Drosophila melanogaster: one gene and its partners. The protein of the gene in region 2 interacts with the protein of the main gene of each other region in a pairwise test. Each region holds a gene or a part of one and is shown on either strand. Other genes may lie near its edges.

Region 1 (5,021 bases), on a different chromosome or scaffold from region 2:
CATCGTAAATTGTTTTATTGATATGAGTGTAATAATCTTTTGATTATCTCCGAGTTTACTATCCGGCTTTCGTGAGATCATCATTGACCGTATCTAAATGGATTCATGAATTATCTTGAATATCTTAATTCACCTGGCCAAATCTTAAATTTATTTAAATTCAAATAAAACTCATATGCCTAAAAGCATGCTTTATTACGTAGAAAACGATTTTCAACAGCCTTAACCATAAGCAAACTCGAAAACAATACTGCTCAATAGTAAGTAAATAATATCGCATTAGTTTAAACATTTTCCACAACTTGTTATTGTTCTCACAATTGGTTTTGAAAGCACTAAAAATATTTCGTTTTGCGGCTTTTCACTTGCCACAAGGCCAAGATAACTGGTTTCTTCTCACTTTAATGGCGAATAAAACCCAGAATTTCTGTGCATATCTAAACTCTGCCATCGGCCAGAGTTAATTGCATTTGGCTGACTTTCCACAGTTCCACAACTCGTTTGGCTTCATAGAATGTCGTTCATAAAATGTCGTCTTTAAGACCCGGAAATTAATAAGTGAATTATAAGCGAACTGAAAGCTCGTATGTAGAAAATGGTACTCATATAAACTTTATTATTCTGTTTATGTTTTTAATCTTTTCCTTGCTTAAATATATAAAGAAATTGTGCCTCAAAGATATGCATTACTCAGAGCCTTATAGTTTCGATACGCATATTACCCTAATACACTGAAAAATGATGTGTAACTGCCGTCGCTATAATAATACAAATAATGCTGTCAACAAAGCGGCTAATTAAGATGCCATTGAAAAGGTGACGAAAGGCCAACAATTGAGGGGCGTTGTTAGCCATGGCCAATTGTTATTGCCAATTTGTGACGCTTTTTAAGGAAAAAGCAGCTGGCGGCGGGTGGGCGGTGGAAAGTTGTGCCCTTTGTTGGCCAACGACTTCCGCTGGCCATTCTTCGAGGTTCTATCGTTCTTGTGGACGGATTCGCGAAGAGTCAATGACAGCTCGTCTGGGTCTGGACTGGCAATGTTATGAAACGTCTAACGGACCGGCAGGCCATCGCCGAGACACAACAGGTGCTGCATAAATTGGAGGCAGGTGGCGGAGATTGCGCAATCCTTAATTAAGGCGACGCTACGCACTCGATGCCCAAAGTGAGCAGTTGCATCGCCATCCCGGTCGACGGGGCAAGTAACAAATGGCAAATGGTAGCTGGTGGAAAACGGCGACTGGAGAAATGGCAACAATTATGTCAAATCTCTTCAGCTCGGCCATTTCCCACACGCAAACGCAATCAACTCATGCGAAACGATGGCCACGTAACCGGGTTGAAGTTGCAGTCAAGAAAGTTTAGTTTCAGTTTCTATTCGGATTTATCTCGCGCTGCATTTGTATCTGCAGCATACAAAGTGCACGTGCGGATGCGGAGCTTAGCTCACGTAGTCGAACTTGTATCCATCGGATGCTATATTTTGATTTATCTCCCATTTGATTAACTCACCCCAAGAGCTGCTGGGCGCCACACTGCAGCAGATAGGCGCCTCCAATGAGACCCACCACGGAGGTGAGTCCCAGCAGCAGGTTCCCGCTTCCAGGTCGGTTGATTGGCAGCTCCATGAGGCAGATGTAGGGGCGCATCCAGCGCTTCAGGCACTGCGGAGTTCGCATTGAATTCAATTACGCTATCGATTTCGCGGCATTTGCATCAGAAGCACACGCACACACACACTTATCGGAAGCAGCTCTGATTTAATTCCACCTCGATTGAAAACCCTAACTATACTGAATCAATGAAATATCCGGAACAATACTACACCAAACTATTTTTTACTACTTATCAGAGCCGAACATTCTTCATTTGCGGCTATCATCTCTTTGTGGACATTTTACGTGGTTTTCGGCCAATACATACTTTGGCCTTAGCCTTATCAAAAGTTTTGTTTGTTCGATTTAAATTGCCTAGATTTCGACATGAAGTTGTATGGGTAAATATACCCTGAGCAGGGCATTTAAGTTTCGGTTATTAAGTTGAATAGAAAATTGGTAAACCAGTAATACAATTAGTTCCCAGCGAAAATATCACGTAAATAAATATTTTTAGGTACAACTCAGTGCAATTGGTCACATTTGAAGTCGTGACCATTAGTGATAAATAATTTTCAGCATAATGCAAAGAAGGATAAATGAAATTGTTGTCATAAATCACTTAAAGAACATTATTCATTTAAGTATGCAAATCTCGTAGTTTAGATGCAATCACTTGAGAGAAGTTTAGAAAAAACTTTGTCTGCAGTTCGAATCACGTACTAGCAGTTATTTATACGTTAATTTAATTGCCTAAGTGTTTTCCTTTGTGTTTATTTTTGCACATTGCGATTAGCACTAATTAAACTTGATAAATGTCTGTATGTGTTTTTTTGCAAAGCTCCTATCGACATTTTTGCTTTTTTTCATCGAGATCTTCTATAGAAGTTGGCAGTTGCATAATCTCCTTTGGTTTTGCATTTTTTTATTTACAAAAATTATAGCATCAGTTGTGTGTGTGTGTGGTTCTAAGAATGATGTATTTTAATTATCGTGCTATTCACTTCAGTTGGCATTAAAGATGTGGGTTTTATTTATAAATTTGTTTGGTTTTTTTGTAATATTTTGGGAGTGGAATCTTCCCACTGAACCGAAATGAACTTCACTGGCGAAATATCTGAATAAATAATTACCACAAATTTCGCTTGTCTTGTTATTTCTGTTTGCAGTTACGAACGACGATTATCAATCACTTTTCGGGCAATATGTTTCTCAGGTGCTTGCCACACGAACTCAGTCCGCTAATTGCCATCGCCCGCCCGCCGATCACCTTGCTCCATCTTCAAAAAGCCCAAACCGTCGACAGCGTTAACAATCCCGACTGCATGACGCACAAATTGAAACAAAACATACAACAAACTGATTAGGATCACGTGGATAAGGGCCCCCCGTGCCAACGATCTTCAAGTTAAGTTAACTTGGCGATTGGAGCAGCTGACTCCGACTGCGAGTGGAGCGGCGACAGGTTTGTTTTAGCCAAGTTGAATTCGGTTTTGTTTACTTTTTTGCACAATATATAACTGGGGTATATGGGCATTATATTGGATTTTGTTTGCCCACTTCGTTATGGCGGATCGCGTATATAGCCGACCGACCGACCGACCGACCGACCGTTGATTTGATAAGAGTTCCGCTCGCGTCCAGAGATATATAAATATATATATCTCGGTATGCGACGAAAAAGTCGCAGATAAGTGTCAAGACTATTTCGGGTGTGAGGTCACAAACGGGTGTACACTCTTTCCAATTGTGTTGAATCTACGGCCAAATGTTTCCAGGGTTTTAAATTTTTTTTTAAATTTTTTGTGGTTTTTTTTTAGGATTTGTGTGCGTTGCGGGCGAGTAACCAAATTGGAACTGGCCCTTATTGGCGCACTGGGTCAGAGCTTTGTTGGCCATGCAACTGAGGGGGTGGGGGTGGGTGGGTGTTGGCGGGTAAATCCCCATTGAGCCGCAGAAATATGGACACTTATGACCCACCCACCCCGTCCACTATTCTCTGGCATTCCACGTTGTCCAACGGACCTTATGCAAATGCAATTGCATATGCCACTTGGCAGCTGCCAGTCACATGTCCGCCGCTTGGAGGATGGTGGCAAGAGTTTGTGGCCAAAAGAAAAACCTACGAAATCGATTGGCCCTGCCATTGGGCATGCAAAGCTTACGGCAATTAATTGCCATTAATCAACTTAATTATGAAACATTCGATAAGATTGCCACTCCGCTCCTCGGGCATCGAAGCTCGTGTGGAAAACGAAATTATCATGGAATGGGCCATACATTTGGGTGCTCCACAATCTAACCAGTCGATTCCGGAATGCTCTATTCGTATTTATAATTCTATAAAACTCTATCCTGAAATATTATAAAAAAAAAACAATGAAGAGACTCCAACTTGTTTCTCTATCAATAACATAGTTATATAAGTTTATGTAGCATAATTATCCAACTATAAAGTGTATCTTTCCTCACACTGAAAACAGACAACAATATAGTTCAAAGAGGTTTTCCAATTACAATCGCCGAACTGGGTTGGTCCTCATTATCATTCTAATGGAACTTCCCCGCCACAGTTTCCCAACCAAATTGCAAACTCATTCGAAAGCTCGGTGGTCAGAGGCAGCGGGTTTCTCCATGACAATTGTCTAAAAAAGAGTTCCCAGAAGACTCCGACTGCTCACGGAAAGATTTCTGGCTGTACGAATGACATGGCTGAGTGACTGACTAACTGACTAACTGCACCCGAGATTTTGTCATTTCCATTTTGAGGCCGGCAAATTTGCATAAATTGATATCCGCCTGCAGTCTGCGAAATGCAGATGCATACACCCAGAGCAGTTTGCCGTAAGATTGTGGGCTCCATGCGCACCCAAGTCGGCTCAGGCCAATCCCCCAGCTGCCTGTGGCTTCCGTTCTGGCCACATGGCACAGTCCAACTTCCACAGCTTCAAGTTGTTGTCAATCAAATTGAAAACATCGAATTGAATGATGGAAATAAATATATATGTATATGCCCTCTGATATTAAATTGGATCGAATGAATGCTTCAGAAGATTGAAAATCTGGCACTCACCTTAATCTATCGCGCAGCTGCTGGTGGGTGAGTTGATCCCGCTGCAACACCTGGAGGATCCGTTGGCACTGGTGCAGTCGCTGGCGCCTCCTCAAGGTCGGCGACTCCGCCTCGAGCACCGCAATTCCGCTGTCCACGCTGGAGTTCAGCTGCTGTTGCTGGATGGGATCGGGATGGGGACTGCTCCCCTGGCTGTTGCTGGTGTTGCATCCTACTGGCGATGTTTCTGCTGGCACTTCACCTGCCATGTTGCTGCTGCTGTCGCCGCTGGGCGGTGTGTGGTGTGTGTGTATGTCGGTTGCTTGTGAATCGGGAGCGGCCCTAGGCCATTTCCATTTCCGCACTCAGTGTC
Region 2 (4,778 bases):
GAATTTATCACATGTTATTATTATTATTATTATTATTATTATTATTATTATTATTATTATTATTATTATTATTATTATTATTATATTGAAATATTTATATGCCATTTATAGCTTCTAATTAAAAGAAAAAATATAAATAAATATTATGTTCAATAACACATAAAAAAGATATTTCGAAAGATTTTGCATCAAAACCTTATTTTAGTGTTCAAAAATGCTTTACTTTTGTATTTGTAGATAAACCGAAGCTAGAAAGTATTAAAAAGAAAAATGTTTAATTCACTTTGTATATTTGTATAACCTAAATTCTAGCTTCCTAGCACTCCAACCGCTAAGTATCGGGTATCTTTTGTTTTTAAATTAAAATGTCCTGATTTTTGATACACAACTCAGTCCTCTTTCACTAATTTAAAAGAATTAACAATTTTAGCAAGGAATTTAGTATGAACGTACCATGTAAATTGTGAACAAATGTTGATCTAAGTATCTTTAGATTGACGATCAATAAAAAGCCGTCTAATTTAGCGGCTTTAAATCCTCGTAAGTACTGTCATAGCTTCCGATCGCCTGAAGTTACAGACTTTTGAATCTTATATTGTTGAAAAGGTTATGTTATTTGCATTATTTCCTAACCATTTCCTAAGACTCTATATAGCTATCTTATTCCTTATTCTTTTTTCCTATCTTAAAAAGCACTCTGATCAAGCAAAAACTTTGCGGAACGAGTCAAATTTTATATAAACAAGTTAGGAATTTATATAACGAGCGATGAACCCCACATATATACTTTGGCGAAATATGGTAAAACTTCACGTTTTGTTTTATACACGAGATATAGAATGTGATATTCTATAGGTCCTAAGTGTCATATATCAAGGAGCCCATATATTTAGTTAGGGTTCAGCTCCCGAATCAGAACATAACATAACATGAATGACTATAACCCCTATTGTTGGTAAAACTTTCTCCTAGACTATATTTACATTTACCTTATTATAGTCCTTTTATCCTATTAATATTTATATTAGGAGAATATAGGAATATGTATACTCATATTATTGTCAAAATCATATGAATACATTTTTTTATATATATTTATTAAAAAGAATCCGTACATAATTATATTGTATCTTAGCATCACAGGGTGGAGATTTATTCTTAAGAATTACCAGTCGATATATAAAAAAAGTAAAGTAAATGAATACATTTGTTTTCAAACGTTAGCTCTCGTGCGAGTTCCATTCTGAAAATAGGAATGGGTGTTTAAATCCTCACATGATTAGTGAGAGGTTTGGTTTTATCATTTATATGTTAATTGCGCTGTTATGTTGCTATTGCTGCATTGTATGGATTCATCGCTTCTAAATAAATAAATTTAAAAAAAAGGAATGGGTGTAGCATACTTTCGGGACGCGCAATAAAAAATTATCTTGAAATTGGTTTGGTTTTAAACTCCGCCATATATCATTATATAATATTATATATTATTTGATCCCAAAGCTTCATAGATTGATCCATCAGCGTCTCGTTGATTTTTGTATGCAATACTTTACGTACTAATTCAAAAACCGAGAAAGTTGTTAATTATTTTGAAGGCTTTTCGCCGAACAACGTAACAAAAAACGTAAGAGCGTACAGAGAGACCTTGCCTGCGGACAGATAAAAATACCGCTCGTAGTCCGATTCGACCCACCTCAACTGATTCAGCTGGCCACACTCCGCCCCATTTTTATATCCACAAATTCCTACGCTCGGCAGTACGTTTTGAACTCGGCCAAAAGGAGGTGGCTAAGAGTTTAGCGCGGCACGCAAGCACATAATTCCCCGCTCGGACGTGATTTCGCCCCTTGGTACATGAATACATGTGAATGTGTACATATGTGCGCACGGGAAATAAGGCAGGAAAAGCCCAAAGCCACGGAGTTCGGATCCGAGAGTCTTGCGTTTTGTTTTGCGCAGCACTGCACCTGTGCAGTGTAAAATCGTGAATTCAGTCGAGGTGCAACTGCGGCGCTTGTGCGGTTGAGGGAGGAGAGTTGGCAGAAGTGTGTTTGTGTGTGTATGTGGGTGGGTAGTGCCTTTTATTTCCGATTTTGACGGGAGTCCAATCCACCAAGCTGAGTAGTTGCAATTACGGCGCGGCGGAAAACTGTTTTTCTCGCTCACAAATACATATGTACAACCTGTATAAACAACAACGACTGCCGTAAACAGCCAACTGCGAACGCAGCAACAACAACAGTTCTAACAACAGTACACAAGCAAACACGTTTCCCGTTTTATTTTCTGGCCCGCGTTTATTAGTGTGTGTGGGTGCGCCTCTGTGTGCGAGTGCGTATGTGTGCGTGTGTACGTGTTGCTCGCTCGAGTATAGAAATTTCTAATGATTTTTGGCCTGTTCCCGAAAAGCAGCTCCAAACAACAACAACAACAACTTTAGGACTCTGCAGTGGCTGTTCCAATTGACTCGCCATTCTTTTGAATTGTTTTTATATATGTAATTGAACGCCGAAAAACAACTGTGTAAAAAACAGCATCTGTGCCAGCAACGAACAGAGCTTCGAATTTTGTTGGTAAGTGTTTTCAGCTTCTGCACAATGAATAAAGTAAATAATAAGTGAATAAGTGATTTCAAAATCTGCATTTTGAAACCGTAAAAAGTGTAGAAAAGAAAAGTGTAAAAAGGTAGCCAATTGTCTTAGTAACGTGCTTATTTATGCAATTTGTAACTATTGGCTTGAAGTTTACATAAAAAAAGGTCCATTCGAAAAATGAAGACTAATATCTTTCCTATCTTTCCTAACGGATATCAAAAAGTAGGATTGGGTAAAACACATTTCTCTCGGAGATTTTTCTTCATTGAGCGGATCGCTTAGATCCATTCATCTGACGCAACAGTAGCAGCAAAATAACGTTGTGATGACCAGGACTAGGGATATGACCTCAAGCAGCATTCTGGGACCTGGATCATGTTGGTCAGGCGGAACTTGTAGATGGAGGCTCGTGTTCTGGAGTGAGGCTTGTGAGCTTGAGTTGTACATTCTTGCGATCCATCCACCGATCTGCTGGCTTTCGAATTTGATGTTCGACAAATGTGTCTCAAAAAAATTTCGACACCCTCGACATGCGTTTCTGTGTTGGCTTTGATAGGTTTTTTCCCCAAAACATTTTCACTTTGCATGCCAATTTTCTCACCGCTCAAACTTGCAGCACTCGGGCGCCTAGTCATTTATTTGATATCATCATTATCGTCATTGCCCGAGCTACAGGCTACAGGTTTTTAGCTAATAAGGTAATGGCAAAAAGACGGGGAAAAACGGCTGAATTATAATCGAAAGAAAAAATCCATCATTGGAAAGTTGGTTTAATTGCATTTGCGGAATGCAGCTGTCAGGGTTGCCTAGTTGTGCGACAGGGCGACGCATTTTTCGCCAGCCGCGCACTTGGCTAATATTTCAGGCTTCATGCTTCATTTGCGTTACGAGCGGACCAAGTCGACTTTCGGAGCAAACCCGGCGGCAAGGGCGTTGGACTAGATTGGATCGGGTGGATTGGATGATGAAGGTGATGGGACAGGAGAAAGGTATTTGAAAGGGCTGGAGTGGGTTACACACTCCCCGGCGATATGGAGTTCATCGTCTTCCGAACTTGAGTTTCAAAATCTAAAAAAAAAACATCTCTATGTATGTATGTATGTAAGTACTTGTGTCTCCCAAGTTCTGGTGCCTGGAAAATCGTCAAACAAATATATTTTCAAAACTTAAAAATTTTTTTTTTTTGGTTTTCGAAGGATAGCGTGCACTACCCACAAAAGGAGCAATAAATTCCTCCGGGTGACAGTGGTTGGCAATTTTTTGCAGCAATTGGCAGGGCGAGTGTGGGAGAGAGCGGTGCCGGTCGTTACACGTTACACACTTTTCCGGGGCACTTTCCCAAGCGAATATTATTTTTTCTGTGCCCTCACATGAAAATCAATTCATAATGGTGCAGGTGGGTGGCGGCTCTCATGCTTTTTTTATATTTTTCTCTATAGTGCGATTGAATGCGACAGAAAATAGTATGATCAAGAAATCATATTGTTTACACATCGGTTTTATAAATTTGGTAGTTTAATTTTTATTAGTCCAAACAAATATCGGATTATATTTTTGTTTCAAGTGTACTTTTCACTTCTTTGCACGGTGGGTATTTTCCTCATCATCTGTTTTTCGAAGAGCTTTTCCGCCGCTGCTGTTTTGTTTATGCTTTTCCCATCTCATTGTTTTTGCGCGCCTCGTGCGTCAATTTATGTGAGTTCAGTTTGCCTCAAAGACGGAAGCGGTCTTAATGGTACAAATAGGAGTAGCTGCGGCTCCAGCTAGGAAACCGGAGGAAAAGGGTGCCGTGGAAATTGGCGCCGCCGCAACTGCCCAAATGCCGCGGCTGCTCATAACTTGTTTGCCGAATAATTTCCAAAGTTGCAATTTTCATTTTATGGCCATTTGTCTTCGGTTGTTTTGTCTGCCGGTTGGGGCACATTCGAAGCCCGGTTTTGCTTTTTTTTTTTCGTGGCTCATTTTGTTTTGTAATCAGAATTACATAGAGGGAAACATTTCATTTTCATTTGCTAACTAAGTTGGTCTCTCTTTCGGACCGCTCTGTAATCGGGTAAATGAAATCCAGATCAGTGGCGAAATTACAAATTTGTTCCATTTTGTTCTAAACATACTCGCATTTCGTAAGTTAAAATTTTCATACATTAGTTTCAAAAGCTAGAAATATAATGAGAATCTTAGAAA
Region 3 (7,005 bases), 5.1 Mb from region 2:
TACCATCGGTAAGGAGATCGTCGACGTGGTCCTGGACAGGATTCGCAAGTTGGCGGATCAGTGCACGGGTCTGCAGGGATTCCTGGTCTTCCACTCCTTCGGCGGCGGCACTGGCTCTGGATTTACGTCGCTGCTGATGGAGCGCCTGTCCGTGGACTATGGAAAGAAGTCAAAGCTGGAGTTCTCCATTTACCCAGCACCACAAGTATGTCATTTGCATATGGATATTATATCTATTGCTTGAGCATTTATAGAAGACCAATTAACATAATTAGTAAAAGACATGGGAAATTAGTCTTCGAAAGGCAATCTAATAATCGAACTTCCTGTTAGGTGTCCACAGCTGTGGTCGAGCCATACAACTCGATCTTAACCACCCACACAACGCTGGAGCACTCGGACTGTGCGTTTATGGTTGACAACGAGGCAATCTACGACATCTGCCGGCGCAACTTGGATATCGAGCGACCCACCTACATGAATCTCAATCGCCTAATTGGCCAGATCGTTTCCTCCATTACGGCCTCGTTGCGCTTCGATGGCGCCCTGAATGTGGATCTGACCGAGTTCCAGACCAATTTGGTGCCCTACCCACGCATTCATTTCCCACTGGCGACATACGCTCCCGTCATTTCCGTGGAGAAGGCCTACCATGAGCAACTGACCGTGGCCGAGATCACCAATGCCTGCTTCGAGCCGGCCAACCAGATGGTCAAGTGTGATCCGCGTCGTGGCAAGTACATGGCCTGCTGCATGCTCTACCGCGGTGATGTGGTGCCCAAGGATGTGAACGCAGCCATTGCCACCATCAAGACCAAGCGCTCTATCCAGTTCGTCGACTGGTGTCCCACGGGCTTCAAGGTGGGCATCAACTATCAGCCACCCACCGTTGTTCCTGGCGGAGATCTGGCCAAGGTGCAGCGCGCCGTCTGCATGCTGTCCAATACCACTGCCATTGCCGAGGCCTGGGCCCGTCTGGATCACAAGTTCGATCTGATGTACGCCAAGAGGGCCTTCGTCCACTGGTACGTGGGTGAGGGCATGGAGGAGGGCGAGTTCGCCGAGGCTCGCGAGGATCTCGCTGCCCTCGAGAAGGACTACGAGGAGGTAGGCATCGACTCCACCACCGAACTGGGGGAAGATGAGGAATACTAGAGAAAACGTTGTCAACAAATGATACAGCCATTACAACTTTATAAACATCACTTTCTTTCTACCAAATACCAATGCATAAAACAGTTTCGCAATAAAACAGTTTAACACAATTGCTTAAAATGGCTTATTTAAATGGGAAATATTCGTCTTTAGATGGAATTTAACTTTTGTGTTAATAAGAATAAAACTTTCTCATATAAGGAAATTGGTAAATCATATATTTATTGGAAATTACCCCTCCGTAAAAAACCCTACTTATCACTTTCTTATTGCTTTAAATATTAATATTAATTGGGCAAATTAATGTTGACTTTTAAAAGTTTTTAATTTTTGAAATCGTTACGTGTAATGGAGCCTTAGGATGCATTTTGAAACGCATGCGCAAAAATGTGTACACATATTTCTAGCAAATTCAGTAGTCGTAGACGTACCTTTTCAGGAGTAGCAGCGAAAAATATTCTTAAGATAGTTTTTAAGTTTAAATTAATTTTACATATATGTGAAAAGTTGTATTAAAAAATTCGCCCGTTATTAAATATAATATTGTTCTTTGGAAACCTCTGTGAATGTTATTTAATTGTAAATGTACATGCAAAATTGTATCCTCTTTTGTCTGCAAAATTGTATGTGCATGTATGTATTCGCAAAATTTAAGTCTAGTCTGTTAAGTTAATTAAGATATTGTTGAGTAGTCTAGGCAGACAACTTTATCTTAAAAGTCCCAGTTTAAACAGTTCTTATACAGAAATTGTATGATATGTATACATATGAAATATGAATATTTTATTTACCCATATATACCCCTTGGAATAATCAATGCCCCCAACGAATACAGACAATGCAAATCTACACAATACCAACAATATATTTATCTTTATTCGCCTTTACACAAAAAGCTTATGTATATCGAATATAATACTATTTTTTCAGGATCTTCGAATGTGATGAAAACCATACCTCTCTCTTCTCTTTTATATCTTTCTTCTTTTCCTATAAAACATTTAATACTTACATATTTCACCATTTACATTTATTCTTATTTTAGGTGGCTATATAATTTTTCATTACAGGAATTTGATTAAAACAATCGTAAGATGGTCCTATCTGCAAAACTCATATACTCTTCCATTTAAGTTCATCCTATAGCCAAAACGTCCGTCCGTTTTTATATCCGTTTGTCCGTCCGTTTGTATGTCCTTCCGTTTGTATGTCCGTTTGTCCGTCCGTTTGTCCGTCCGTTTGTCCGTCCGTTTGTCCGTCCGTTTGTCCGTCCGTTTGTCCGTCCGTTTGTATGTCCTTCCGTTTGTCCGACCGTTCCGTCTGTATGTTTCTTATGTTATGTATGTTGTATATGTTTCTTTTTAGCAAAATAAGATGTGTCTGGTTTCCTTGCCACCTATGCAATCCCCTTGTGAGATCTTAAACTTGTTATACGCCTAAATATGATAAATGCTTTCTATGAATAACCTTTATATTTACAGATTAACTGCACCGGATGACGTGGCATTTTATTTGTAACATATTTAAAATTAAATCAAACATTTAAAGAATGTTTAATTTAATTTACACTGAATTCATTTAGCACTGGGCCTTTAGTAGGGGTTAAATCTTATATGCGCCAAGTTGTTAAATATTCATAACTTTTGGGGAAAGTATCATCTCAATGATAGTGCGGGAAAATTAAGCTGAAATTAAATAGGGCGTAATAAATAGAAATCCTTAAACTATCACTCTGATTCGGAGTTTTACAGGAATGGCGGCATATGAGTAAAGATAGTTTTATTGAAATGACTCCTAATGACAGACGAAAAAGAGATTATTTCTGTGTATTTGCATATGCCCATCTCTTGGGTAAAGGATCAATGGTAATGATTATAAATTTCAGTTTTAAAAACATGCATCGGATACATGACGACGAGTATTCCGAGGATGCCAAGGAATCGGACTTTAAGAGTTCGATTCAGAAGGAGATATCAGTGAAGTCGAGACACCAAATTTCCATACCAGACATATGCTCAGATGCTGTTAAGAACAATTGTTTTCCGCCGACTGGCTTTCTCAATAACTCGATCACCTTTGCCTCACATGTAGTTAAGTGCAGCTCACCGGCCTCGAGCATCGATGAATCCTCAACGGCGGCCCAGCAGCACGAATCCAATCCACACATGCATATACAGGGTCAGCATATGATGGCTCCCGTTCCCGATCTGGGTTTCTACAATGTGCCCGAGTTCATATCCGAGCAGGAGAAGCTCATGTTCTCCGATGCAGAGAGATTCTTGCGGTCGAAGGATAATGAGGTGTGCAACAATGATTTCAGCTATATGCACGATGAGTTCGCCATGCGGAAGTACTATCATCCGTTATTTGCTCATGGCATATGCCGTTGGCCTGGTTGCGAAATGGATTTGGAAGACATCACATCGTTTGTCAAGTAGGTGGAGTACAATTAGAGGTATGAAATAATTATATAGGGTATGTTATCTAACTAGGCATCTGAATACGGAACATGGTTTGGACGATCGATCAACAGCACAGGCACGGGTTCAAATGCAAGTTGTCTCCCAGCTGGAATCCCACCTGCAAAAAGAACGAGATCGCTTGCAGGCAATGATGCATCACTTGTATTTGTCCAAGCAGCTTTTGTCTCCCACCAAAATCGACAGGAAGGTAAGTCCCTTTTTATGTGAGTAAGTATTGGTATAATGAAAAGTTATAAATATAAGGACGTGCCCGGAAGAGAGGGAAAGTTTTGCCGGAGTCCGCTTACCGTAAATAGCATAGGCCGACCCATCCGACAAACAAATTCACCGAGTCCTCTGAATCTTCCAATGGTTAATTCCACCAACTTGTGCTCGATCAAAAAGAGAAACCACGACAAAAATACATTTTCCATAAATGGGGGTAAGTTTGGGAAAAATTTACTATTACTGTATAAAAATAATAATGGTTTTTGGATATAGGATTACCCTATATGCTTGAAAGAGCAGGTCTTGATGTGCAACAGGGTAAGTAAATTATGTAGACTGATCGTCTTGATGACTATTCGTCTTGTGCTTCTGGAAGACATATAATAAGAATTTAAATTTGCAGAAATCCATCGAAACAGAGAGTTTTATAAGAATGCTGATGTACGACCGCCTTTTACTTATGCTTCCCTCATAAGACAGGTAATTTTAAAAACCAATTTCCTAATATAACATTAATTTATTTTTTTTATATATATTTTATTTATAGGCTATAATTGACTCCCCTGACAAGCAGTTAACCCTAAACGAAATCTACAACTGGTTCCAAAACACATTTTGCTACTTCCGGCGCAACGCAGCTACGTGGAAGGTAAAATGCCCCATATATGTAAATCTTCTTTCCTCCATATTATCTATATATTATGCAACATAACTTTAATTTGAGTATTTATGCTATATGATATGATATCTATGATCTGATATGACCATTTGTCCGTCCGTATAACTCTCGTTTGTCCGATTGGCGTTCCTAGCTTGTCCGCTGTATATATACTATATACTACCTTTTCCACATTGTCCACTACTTTGCCAATATTTAAGAGTATAATAGAGCTAAATACAAGTGATATATAACAAGGTAAGCTACACAGGTCAGATCCTGTTTTATTCCATTTCCTTTTTATATGTCTTAAAATAATCAAATTAAGTTTGGCCTATGCTAACTGATAATATATATCATTAGAACGCAGTCCGGCACAATCTGTCCCTTCATAAGTGCTTTATGCGGGTTGAGAATGTGAAAGGAGCAGTTTGGACTGTCGATGAGATTGAGTTTTACAAAAGACGACCGCAGCGCACTGCTGGCATTGGTAACAATCTAACCGGTGCTACCAATTCGCCGGACACTAACTATTTTGTAGCCATGAACATTGGGTATGTGGGTCTCAAATAGTTTAATTCTACTCACTTTGCTCCAAACTCCTTCCGTTTTGCTCTGTTAGTAAATATACATATGCCATTGCATGCATGCTCCTATATCGAAATGATATAATATGACATTATACGATCTTTTTACAGCGCAAATTGTAAACAGTGATTCTAATCTCTTAGTGGTAGAAACCCAAAATGATGTCCGTCTGCTCATCGATCTGTCTGTCTGTCTGTCTGGAATTTAGCTGATGAAGATTATCCAGGATTTCGCGTGTTATGAAAAATGAAAATAAGAAGACCGAAGACAAATGAACTAACCTTAATATCTCAATGAACTTTTTCTTCCTTTCACGATAATGCAATTTCCTGTTTCTGACTCTTGATGGGGCTCTTGTTTTGTCCAACCAATCATAAAGAATGCGATTCGTACGAACCTTTCCTTACACAAGTGCTTTGTACGTTATGAAGATGACTTTGGCTCGTTTTGGATGGTCGACGATAATGAGTTTGTCAAAAGGCGGCACTTGTCGAGAGGGAGACCCCGGAAATATGAACCGTCCTCCTCCCCAAATTCATGCCAATCCGGCAATGGTGTGCCCACTGATAAGAATCCCTGCGACAATTGTACGCAACATTGCACTAGTTTGCCACCGGGTGCTGATAATCCTCTAGATTCCAATAATCCAAATGATTTAGGCAGAATTGGTTGTCTTCCCTATTGCGGTAGTGATGGTTTAAGTAAAGCGTCCAAGGACTATAGCAATATGGACTCGGGTATGATCGAAAGTAACAGCCACTTGACAATCGATGAATATTCTACTAATATGTACGAGAGTAGTGCCAATGAGCACAATCGATAAATAATATATCATTAACTATACATATATTTAGATGCATTGTCGAGTAATCTGCGTTTGGTAAGAAGGTTCGGATTCGGAAATTATATCTGTACATACACATGGTTCTATGTATAATTTCCCAAATAGAAATGAAAAAATACTTTTAAAATAAATTTCACTAATGCTATAAAATAAACGAAAGAACTACGTTAAATTATTAAAGCAAAATTAATGTGTTTAAACTTGCTTTAATAACTCCACTTATAACACGATTTTAATATACGAGTACAACATATATGAATATTTTCACTTTTCAGCAAGGGAGAAAACATTTAAAAGCTATAGCTTGATAAAATTTTAACAAAACTGTTTTAAAAGTCACAATATGATTTTTTTTTAAGGAAACTATTTTCAGGTATACCTTCTGTTAAAAATCTGGACCCTTGAGAGCTTTAGATTTGGAAACTCCTTAGTAAACGTATATGCTTTTCTGCTGACTTATCTAATTTCCTTCTAATTTAAGATCATTAACGATACTCAGTGACCTAAATAAATTCCTCAAATATACAACAAAGTGAACAAACTGAATTTTATTTCTAGTTCCTAAGCAAACGGTTTACGCGACGTAAAAGCGGTTAAATCGGCTTCTCAAAAGTTTGTCAATCAAAGTTTTCTACCAATTCATTATTTTAAAGCGGTCTTTAGTATATTTTAGTATATTCTATTGGAGATTTTTTGGACTGCCACTATTTAAGGAAAAACAACCGATAAGAATGGACGCATTCGTGAACTTCTGTATCTTAAATTTAATAAAATATATACAGCCTAAGTACACATATTGTAGTCAATGTCAATTTAATTTGAAAGTAAAGTTTTTGTTTACCAATAAATTTGTTTGGAGAATGTATCGATACCGTCGAATTTTCCGGCAACCATCGATACAGTCGGGCGGCATCGGTTTTCGTCCCAGCTCTAGCCAGTACGGTCACTCTGAAAGTCTCTCAACGTTTTGTGACATGAAAATTCAACGAGGACACTGTGTACATGAATAGTTGAAAAATTAAAATGGTTTCCATGCAATTTGTTTTGCAACCGCTACCGGGCTCGGACGA

What was found.
Region 1: the proteins of smash (region 2) and M7BP interact in a two-hybrid assay, tested with the Drosophila melanogaster proteins (one large-scale study listed by BioGRID).
Region 3: the proteins of smash (region 2) and FoxP interact in a two-hybrid assay, tested with the Drosophila melanogaster proteins (one large-scale study listed by BioGRID).

Annotation. Positions count from the first base shown.
Region 1 is NT_033778.4:7,626,821-7,631,841, reverse strand, and holds the start of M7BP (Myosin-7a binding protein), read right to left. Parts: upstream 3,042-5,021; 5' UTR 2,730-3,041; intron 1,666-2,729; 5' UTR 1,651-1,665; coding exon 1,514-1,650; intron 348-1,513; exon of another isoform or gene 1-347.
Region 2 is NT_033777.3:4,657,827-4,662,604, forward strand, and holds the start of smash (smallish), read left to right. Parts: upstream 1-1,752; 5' UTR 1,753-2,573; intron 2,574-2,700; exon of another isoform or gene 2,701-3,113; intron 3,114-4,778.
Region 3 is NT_033777.3:9,725,479-9,732,483, reverse strand, and holds FoxP (forkhead box P), read left to right. Parts: upstream 1-1,611; 5' UTR 1,612-3,050; coding exon 3,051-3,589; intron 3,590-3,647; coding exon 3,648-3,825; intron 3,826-3,881; coding exon 3,882-4,059; intron 4,060-4,118; coding exon 4,119-4,163; intron 4,164-4,248; coding exon 4,249-4,325; intron 4,326-4,392; coding exon 4,393-4,494; coding exon of another isoform or gene 4,495-4,557; exon of another isoform or gene 4,558-4,866; coding exon of another isoform or gene 4,867-5,076; exon of another isoform or gene 5,077-5,333; intron 5,334-5,470; coding exon 5,471-5,914; 3' UTR 5,915-6,464; downstream 6,465-7,005. Other genes in the region: alphaTub85E (alpha-Tubulin at 85E), read left to right, coding at 1-205, 334-1,155; hyd (hyperplastic discs), read left to right, coding at 6,959-7,005.